Linked DNA regions of Coturnix japonica. The protein of the gene in region 1 purifies or fractionates together with the protein of each later gene. This does not show direct contact. Links are inferred from orthologs where the notes say so. Each region holds a gene or a part of one and is shown in the gene's direction. Other genes may lie near its edges.

Region 1 (3,994 bases):
GGCATCCGCCTGCCTGCAGTTTTCCGTGAATGTATAGATTACGTAGAGAAGTATGGCATGAAGTGTGAAGGCATCTACAGAGTTTCAGGTATTCTGAGTGTACTGACGGACAGGTTCTTTATTTTGCACTTGTCGTATTGACTTACCTCTTTAAACACCTAGAGATGCTATTTAGAGCTACTTTGATTTTAATTATTGGAAAGATAATCAGGTGGCTAAAGCTAAGCAAACCCTGAAATACCAGAAAAGTAGCTCATGTCATGGTACTGCTTAAAGGAGGTAAAAATATATCTAATTAGACCTGTTGTGATGGGGTGATGGTAAGTATGAATAAAATGTGCTGCATTGGCAAGCTTGTATTCTTTTTATTTGTATTACTTCTGCATGAGAAATGCTATTCTAGTTGATGGGAAAAGCAAGGATGAGAAATAACCATTTTACGACTTAAGCTTCTCACTGTTGCTTTTTACTGTGTATAATTTTCTTCTTTAAAAGCTTCTTTTGTTTGGGCAAAGTCACTAATAAGCAGAAAATGCAAGTTTCGCATTTAAGCTTAGCCACAGCAGGATAATTAACCACAGGAGTTGTGTAACACCTGCTTACATAAAGCAGCGTGGTTTGTAGCTGTGTTAAACAAAACAATCCCTTTGTGAACTCTTTGCAGTGAAACCCAAGCAAGTGTTTCAGTGTGCACGTTCAAGGGAGCAGAAACAAGTGAGAAAAGGAACTTGGGGGAAAGCACTCGGAACAAGTTATTAGCAGTGCTGCAGAGCAGTGATCAAACAATTGCTAACGTCTTCATTCAGCTGTCCTTATGCTGATGGTCTGCATGGTACTTGGTAGGGATGCTCAGCAGTTTCTTAGTCTCACCCGTGAGACCATTCTGGCAGTACATTATTTTCAGGGCAGGCTGAGTTGGGATGTTCACGGGAGGTTTGTTTTCCATAAGGTGTTTTTGATGTTTGTACCATCCAGGTGTTCTCCAGTGCAATAGCACCCTCTGGTGTGTGCGAGAGTACTTAAATTGAGGGCTCTGAATGACAACGGCCTAGCACTGTACCAGCACTTGTGATGAGTAACTTATTGGGACATGAAATAGAGCACATTTTAGCTGGCATTTACCGTGGGCTGGGTGCACCCAGCTTTGTTTATTGTACCAGAGCCAACATATGGCAGTGCAGTAAGTCACTGAAAGCCAAATGGGTGTTTGAGCTTTAAGAAAGAAACTTTTCTGACTTGAGGAAGATTTGAATGTCACTGAGTTGTAAAAACACTGTGCAAAAATACTGGCAAGTCTGAATAATTACATGAACACCTGTTTCACACACAGAATCACAGAATGACCCGGGTTGGAAGAGACCTCAAGGATCATGTAGTTCCAACCCCCCTGCCTGGCAGGGCCACCAAACATACACATTTACTAGATCAGGTTGCCCAGAGCCCTGTCCAACCTGGTCTTGAACACCTCCAAGGACGGGGCATCCACAACCTCCCTGGGCAGCCTGTTCCAGGGCCTAACCACTCTCCTAGTGAAGAACTTCCCCGTGTTTATTCATACATTGCCTCAAACCAAAATGCTGTGTGAGATTTCTCCAGCTGAAAACCTGAAAACTAAACTGTGTGGGCTTGGTTTCACAGAGGAAGGCTCACGTTTAGAATTTCTTGCACAGTATTGGAGTTGATAAGGACATACTTGCTGTTTGGTTGAGAGCTGTTATGGAACAACTTGGGAGAAATTAAATGGAGAGAAACAACAAGGGGAATCATCTTTTTACAAGGGTGAACAGTGATAGGACAAGGAGGAGTGGTTTTAAACTCAAAGAGTGAAGGCTTAGATTGGATGTCAGGCAGAAGCTCTGAGGTCAGTGCTTTTAAATACAGTGACCATGTTAATCCTGAGTTGCAGTTTTGTCACATGTGAATGATCTTTAAAAGCTATTCTTCAATTAGTTTAATTTGTAAGGAGAAGAGCTTCTCAAAGAAATAAATAAATAAGAGTATTACAACTATTATATATGTAGAGCTGAAAAATCATCTTAATTCTTTATTTAAATATTTTCAGGAATAAAGTCAAAAGTCGATGAGCTCAAAGCAGCCTATGACCGAGAAGAATCTCCCAACCTGGAAGAATATGAGCCCAATACAGTAGCCAGCTTGCTGAAGCAGTACCTACGTGAACTGCCTGAAAACTTGCTTACCAAAGAGCTAATGCCCCGCTTTGAAGATGCTTGTGGAAAGAGCACAGAAGCTGAGAAAGTCCAGGAGTGCCAGAGGCTGCTGAAAGAGCTGCCGGAGTGTAACCATCTCCTCATTTCTTGGCTCATTGTGCATATGGACCACGTTATCGCAAAGGAACTGGAAACAAAAATGAACATCCAGAATATTTCTATAGTGCTCAGCCCTACTGTCCAGGTATGTGCCTCACACAGGTGCTAGAGCAGAGTGTCAGCACAAGAAAGGTTTCTTCATAGGAGTTCTCTTGCATGTGTGAATCAGGCACTGTCTGATACAATTAAGCTGAATTAAATCTCTTCTTTATACTTTGAGAACATAAAATGCACAGAAAGTAGGGAGGGGGAAGACTTTCTGAAGGTGAGCTTGCATAGTATTAGTCTTGTATCTGCTGTTATGAAAACAGTGCAAAGATTGCTTACTGGGCTTTTTTATTCCGTGAGCACAAGTAATTCAACATTGAATTAATCTGCTAATTCAAGCGGATGTAGGATTTCTGTGTTTCTGATGCAGTGATGACTCAGTGAAGACTATTCTGTTGCTTAATTTTACTATCAAGCCACTGAACCCTGTACTGCAAACAGATCTTGCTGATGCAGTGATGACTTATGGCCTCAAGTTGTGCCAGGGCAAGTTTAGGTTGGATATTAGGAAGAACTTCTTTACAGAAGGGGTAGTTATGTACTGGAATAGGCTCCCCAGGAAGGTGGTTGAATCGCCATCCCTGGATGTGTTTAAGAGCCATTTGGATGTGGTGCTCAGGGATATGATTTAGCAGAGGGTTGTTAGAGTTAGGGTACTATGGTTAGGGTGCAGTTGGACTTGATAATCTTCAAGGTCTTTTCCAACCTGGGTAATTCTATGATTCTATGACTTGGGTATACAGAATTCCAATCCTTCTTTCAGGATGCGTTTTTAAATGTTAATGGAAGACATAGCATCTGAATAAATATTTGCTTCTGTCTCATTTTAAAGCAAGGAATACGATAACAGCTCCTTTCAAGCCATTTTTTTTTAAACTGTTTTGAATCTGAGAGAGAAGTTGGTGAAAATACTGAAGTTTTGGGAGAAGAGAGAAGGCAGCCCATCCATAGCACAGAATGTTTGGTGCTCCTGCTTACCTATTGCTACCACTTCCACCTTTGCATGAGCAAAAAGAAAGAGGTGGTCAGAGAGCTGGAGCACTTCCCCTATGAGGACAGGCTGAGAGAGTTGGGGCTCTTCAGCCTGGAGAAAAGAAGGCTCTGGGGGGACCTTACAGTGGCCTTCCAGTACCTGAAGGGGACCTACAGGAAAGTTGTGGAGGGGACATTTTATAAGGGCAGGTAGTAACAGGATGAGGGGAAATGGCTTTAAACTGGAAGAGAGTAGATTCAGACTAGATATTAGGAAGAAATTCTTTGCTGTGAGGATAGTGAGACACTGGAACAGGCTGTCCCATGAGGTTGTGGATGCCCCTCCTTGGAAGCATTGAAGGCCAGGCTGGATGTGGCCTTGAGCCACCTGGTTTAGAGGGAGGTGTCCCTGCCCATAGCAGGGGGTTGTAACAACATGATCTTAAAGATCCGTTCCAACCCAAACCATTCAATGTATTTGTGAGTGATGGAAGGTCGTTGCACTTCTGGAGAAAGATACTGTGCTTCACAGGTGCAGATTATGTGAAGAAATCATCTGAACTACTCCCATGCCCTTTCTTTCAGATCAGCAACCGTGTCCTGTATGTACTTTTTACACACGTTCAAGAGTTCTTTGGGAATGTGAC
Region 2 (4,443 bases), on another chromosome or scaffold:
AGCCTGAACTAATGTGCCTTCATAAGAACTACAGCACTCAATGACCATCAACATCAGGCACAGACAGGAAACTGAGGCAAACTGCTGGCAGACCCAGCAACATGGTGCTATCCTTTGTGCAGAAGAAAGGGGCACTGATTTTACTGCCTCACCCCTCAGCCTATCTTTTAGAGTCTTGGAAGCTACATCAACAGGGCAGGCCCGTCTTGAACACAGACAAGCTGTCTGTTCTGATTAGAGTGGGTTGCGTGGAGAACAGAATGTAAGTTGCATGGGTCAAGAAAAACTGTCCAATAGGAAAAATTAAAAGTAACAAAGCAGTGACAGGTTTGCCTGTGGCTGTTAAGAGAGACCACAGTACTTACGGCAGTGGGCATTGTCACTGTTTTCCTGCCATGGTCCCACTCAAAGAACTTAGAGAAACTAGGGCCAACACACTGATGGAGGTCCTCTGGTGTCTGGCTGGGGTGCTGCAGAAGGGAGTATTTGTGATGCAAACAGCACAAATACTGAGTTAGTCAGACCCTAATTTCACAGGACTGCTGTTATTAAACACACTGTAGTTAGGTAAAGCCCTGTGCCATCTCTATGCTGTTAATACCATTTCCTCTGACTAGCACCTTGTACCTGACAGAACCTGGCAAGCCCTGATGCAGCCCAGCCTTTGCTCTGCTGCACCTTCTCCAGGGGATTGATTCACTTTGCTCTTCTGAGTTTTCTAATTTGGGCTCCAGAGTTCACTTTCTAACACAACTGCTCTCTTTCCAAATGATATAAAACATATTGTTATAAAACAATGACAAAACACCACAGCAAAACATCCACTATCCCCGAGGGAACAGAGATTTCCCTATTAACAGTCCCCTAACACTCTTATCGTAATTATCAGCTATGCAGCTGGCAATAACTGCAGACCACAACCACGCAGCGTTCTGAGCACTGAGAAGATCGACACACGTATTCATGGCAGATTAGAGGAATAAAAGGTTTGCATGTTTTGTGCAGATTAGGAGGCACCGTTGCATGGTGTGGAAAGGATAAAGTAACTTCCATACTGTCTTCACAGGAGAGTTGTGATCATTTTTGGATCATTTTGTGGCCCTCCTCTGGATGTGCTCCAACAGCTCCATGTCTCTCCTGTACTGCAGTCTCCACATCTGGATGCAGTACTCCAGGTGAGGCCACACCTATTTAGAGCAGAGGAGCAGGATCACCTGCTGGCCACGCTTCTTTTGACGCAGCCCAGGATACGGCTGACTTTCTGGGCTGTGAGGGCACATTGCTGGCTCACGACCCAACTTTTTGGCAGGGCTGTGCATCACACAGTGCCCAGGCAGCTCCTTCAGCAGCAGCCGGCACTTTCCTAGAGACTGCTTGGCTCCTCTCTGCCCATGGATGCACACAGCTTCTCACACCAGCGCTGCCCTGCGGCACGGCAGCACTCCCCGGGGCGCTGCGGCCCCGCACCGTGCGGTGGGCGGGAGGGGGCGCGGCCTGCACCTTCCTGTGGCTGCGTAGCACCGCCTCCCTCCCTCCTTCCCTCCCTCCCTCCCGCCGCCGCCACACCTCCCCCGTCGGCTCGGCACCCGCTGCCCGCCGAGAGGCTGTGCCCCGCCATGGAGCAGGGGCCGGCGGGGGGGCCTGCAGCAGCCGTGTCCGCCGCGGGTGTGTTGGTGCCTCTGAGCGAGAGCGAGCAGCAGCGCTACTCGGAGCTCTTCTCGCGGTGCTGCCCGCCCCCCGAGGCGGCCGCCGGGGGCAGCAGCGTGGGGGAACTATTCCGGGCCTCGCAGCTGCCCCCAGACACGCTGCACCAGGTGGGTCGGGGCGCCGAGGGAGTGAGGAGGGGGAGTGAGGGGGGGCTGGGAGCTCGCAACCCCGCCGTGCATCGGCGGTGGCAGCCCGAGAGCTCCGTGTTGGGGGCTGCGGCGGAGCTCAGGTGGGAGCCGAGGTCCCGCGGGGTTGAGGAGGGGAGCCCCACTGCCGGGGGGTTGTTTGTTGGCGGCCTTTATTTGCCAAGCAGAAAGAAGCGCTGTTAGCGCTGGGTAGCAGCACGGCGGTACCTGGCTGCGGCCACAGGGAGTGGAACTCCGCTGTGTGCCGGGAGCTGTCAGCCCGTCTCTTCGTGGCTCCGCGTTACATAAATCCCTATCGCACAGGTGGAAGCGGGGATGTTTCTTGCGTGTTTTTTTTTTTCTTGTCCTCGCTTCGCTGTTTGCCAGTTGTGTAAACACAAAAGGCAGCCGTGCTGCTTGGCTTTGAGTCGCACCGTGGCCTTCGTTATGTGTGGAGAGAACAAGGGTTGCCCACAGAGCCAGCGCCGAGAGTCCAATTTCAAGTAGCAAGTCTTAGTTGCGGAGTGTGTTAAAACCCTGTCAGCAGATTTCTGTGTTTTTGGTGTAGAGTTGTAGAAAAACGCTTCTTATTTTTGCTATATAAGTCCTTATCCTAACTTTAAAGTAAATCTTGCTGTGTTATTGTGGTTCGCTTTGGGGGTTGTTTGGGTTTTAATGTGAAACTTAAGCCTGGAAACGCCATTTTTCAATATTCTGGAACTTCTTTTACTTCCCTCCCCCCCAGCTTTAGATTATTTCTAGGTATATTTATGATGTGAAGAGAATATTACCGAGAAACAGGTCTGTAATTGGCTTCAGGAATTGTCAGGTTAATAAGGCCTTTGGGACCTGGACTGTTTCTCTCCCCTTTCTTGCCCACCCCCTCTTGTTTATATGAGACCAATCATGGTCTGTGGCTGGAACTCCTGTCCCAGAGCCTGCTGCTGTCAGGTGCTCTTATTAACAGTCTTTTTTGAAGTGGAAAAAATAAATGAGTTATGAGTTAAAAAATAAATGAGTAACGGGGGAGAAAAAAGGGTAAATGTGAACCTTCTGATGTGAGAAAAGCTACTTCTTTTTTTTTTCAAGGTGCTGAGCTGGTGCTGTTGCCTTCAAGGTGTTATAGTTGGGTAGTAATGAGATAGAACAGAGAGACATGTTCAGAGAGGCTGTGGATGACCCATCCCTGGAGACACTCAAGGTCAGGCTGGACGGGGCTCTGAGCACCCTGATGTAGCTGTAGGTGTCCCTGTTCATTGCAGAGGAGTTGGACTAGATGGCCTTTGAGGGTCCCTTCCAACTCAAACCATTCAGTGATTCTGTGAAAGAAGGAGCTTTTTGTTATCCAGCTTTGATAGAGATTTCTTGTTGACTGGGAAAGGTGCTGAACTGAGTAATGGGAAATCTCCTCCAGAGCAGATAGGTAATGTGAGGGAATGTGCCAGAAGAGGAAGTGCTGGAGTAAATAGGAAACAATCCAAGAGCAGTCGGGTCAGAAGGAGCAGATGGTATGCACCCAAGAGCTGCGAGTCTCGCTAAGAATGAAGCGCTTGAACGCAGATTTATTAAACACAGGCTTGTTAAAATAAAAAATGACCCCATTTTAAAGCTGGCCATTGGTGAGTACAGCCTTTGCTCATTGTCTCTGCGGTCCCCAAATGCATTTGTGTTGTATGCCACATGCCAATGGACAGAGGTTTGCATGGATTTCAGGTAAAATAGAGCTTCCTGTAGTTACCATCGGCTGATCAGCAAAGAGATGCCTTGTGCTAGTTCTGTTTGCCTGCGTTACTGTGGGTCTGTGAAGATTCTGAGAAGTGAGGGAGAAGGAGGATAGGAGTCAAGTTTTACACTGAACTGCCTGCCTTTGTTATTAATTTTTTACTCAATTAATTTTCATTTGGTTGTTGATGCAATCTTTAATTCTAGTTTTTATACACTGTAGTCTTATTTGTGGGCTTGCAGTATCAGCACAGAGATCCAGTTCTATTAAGGAAGCGCGTTCCTTCCTCCACAAATGAACAAACTGTGTTATTTTGAGCTTTGAGGATGACAAGTACTAATTGTATGACTTTGGAGGCTGCACAGAGCTGCATTTTTTAGTTAGACCTCTCTGTCCAGTTCTGTGTGAATGGAGGATTCAGACCAGGGGGTCTTGCTTTTCCTCTGCATGGTCTGTGTGTTATTTTGTTGTTTGTGGTGACCTGTCTCTATAGTTACACTGAATTGTTTAACTGTCCTGTTGTGTTCAAAAAGCAGAAGTGTGAACACATGAAAAAAAGGGGGGAAAGGGAGGAAGGGAGAGAAATTGCAAAGCTGCTATTTGCTGTTTCATTGGAAAAATACCAGCAAGGGTTCACTTTTCCATCATTTATTTTTCATAGGCATGAATATCTACCTGTGTGGTAGCCAGGGTGGCATTGACTGTGTGTGCCCCGGTGGCGCAGTGGTAGAAGTGCCGCTTGCAACACCAGAGTCCTGGGTTCGAATCCCCTGTGGCACAAGTGGTAGAAGTGCTGCTCTGCTACACAGGGCTCGAATCCCGGGGGTTGGACTCAATGATCTCTAAGGTCCCTTCCAACCCGCACCAGACTGTGATACTGTGATACTG

What was found. Proteins that work in one complex are often made in the same cells at the same time.
Region 2: the proteins of RALBP1 (region 1) and REPS2 purify together in Homo sapiens (affinity purification with mass spectrometry; 3 studies listed by BioGRID and IntAct, counting the BioPlex papers as one, with this or other methods). This does not show direct contact. The link is inferred for Coturnix japonica from reciprocal best matches to the Homo sapiens genes RALBP1 and REPS2.

Annotation. Positions count from the first base shown.
Region 1 is NC_029517.1:88,792,984-88,796,977, reverse strand, and holds part of RALBP1 (ralA-binding protein 1), read left to right. Parts: coding exon 1-88; intron 89-2,062; coding exon 2,063-2,412; intron 2,413-3,932; coding exon 3,933-3,994. UniProt on the Homo sapiens protein: Multifunctional protein that functions as a downstream effector of RALA and RALB. As a GTPase-activating protein/GAP can inactivate CDC42 and RAC1 by stimulating their GTPase activity.
Region 2 is NC_029516.1:109,364,478-109,368,920, reverse strand, and holds the start of REPS2 (ralBP1-associated Eps domain-containing protein 2), read left to right. Parts: upstream 1-1,557; 5' UTR 1,558-1,616; coding exon 1,617-1,814; intron 1,815-4,443. UniProt on the Homo sapiens protein: Involved in ligand-dependent receptor mediated endocytosis of the EGF and insulin receptors as part of the Ral signaling pathway. By controlling growth factor receptors endocytosis may regulate cell survival.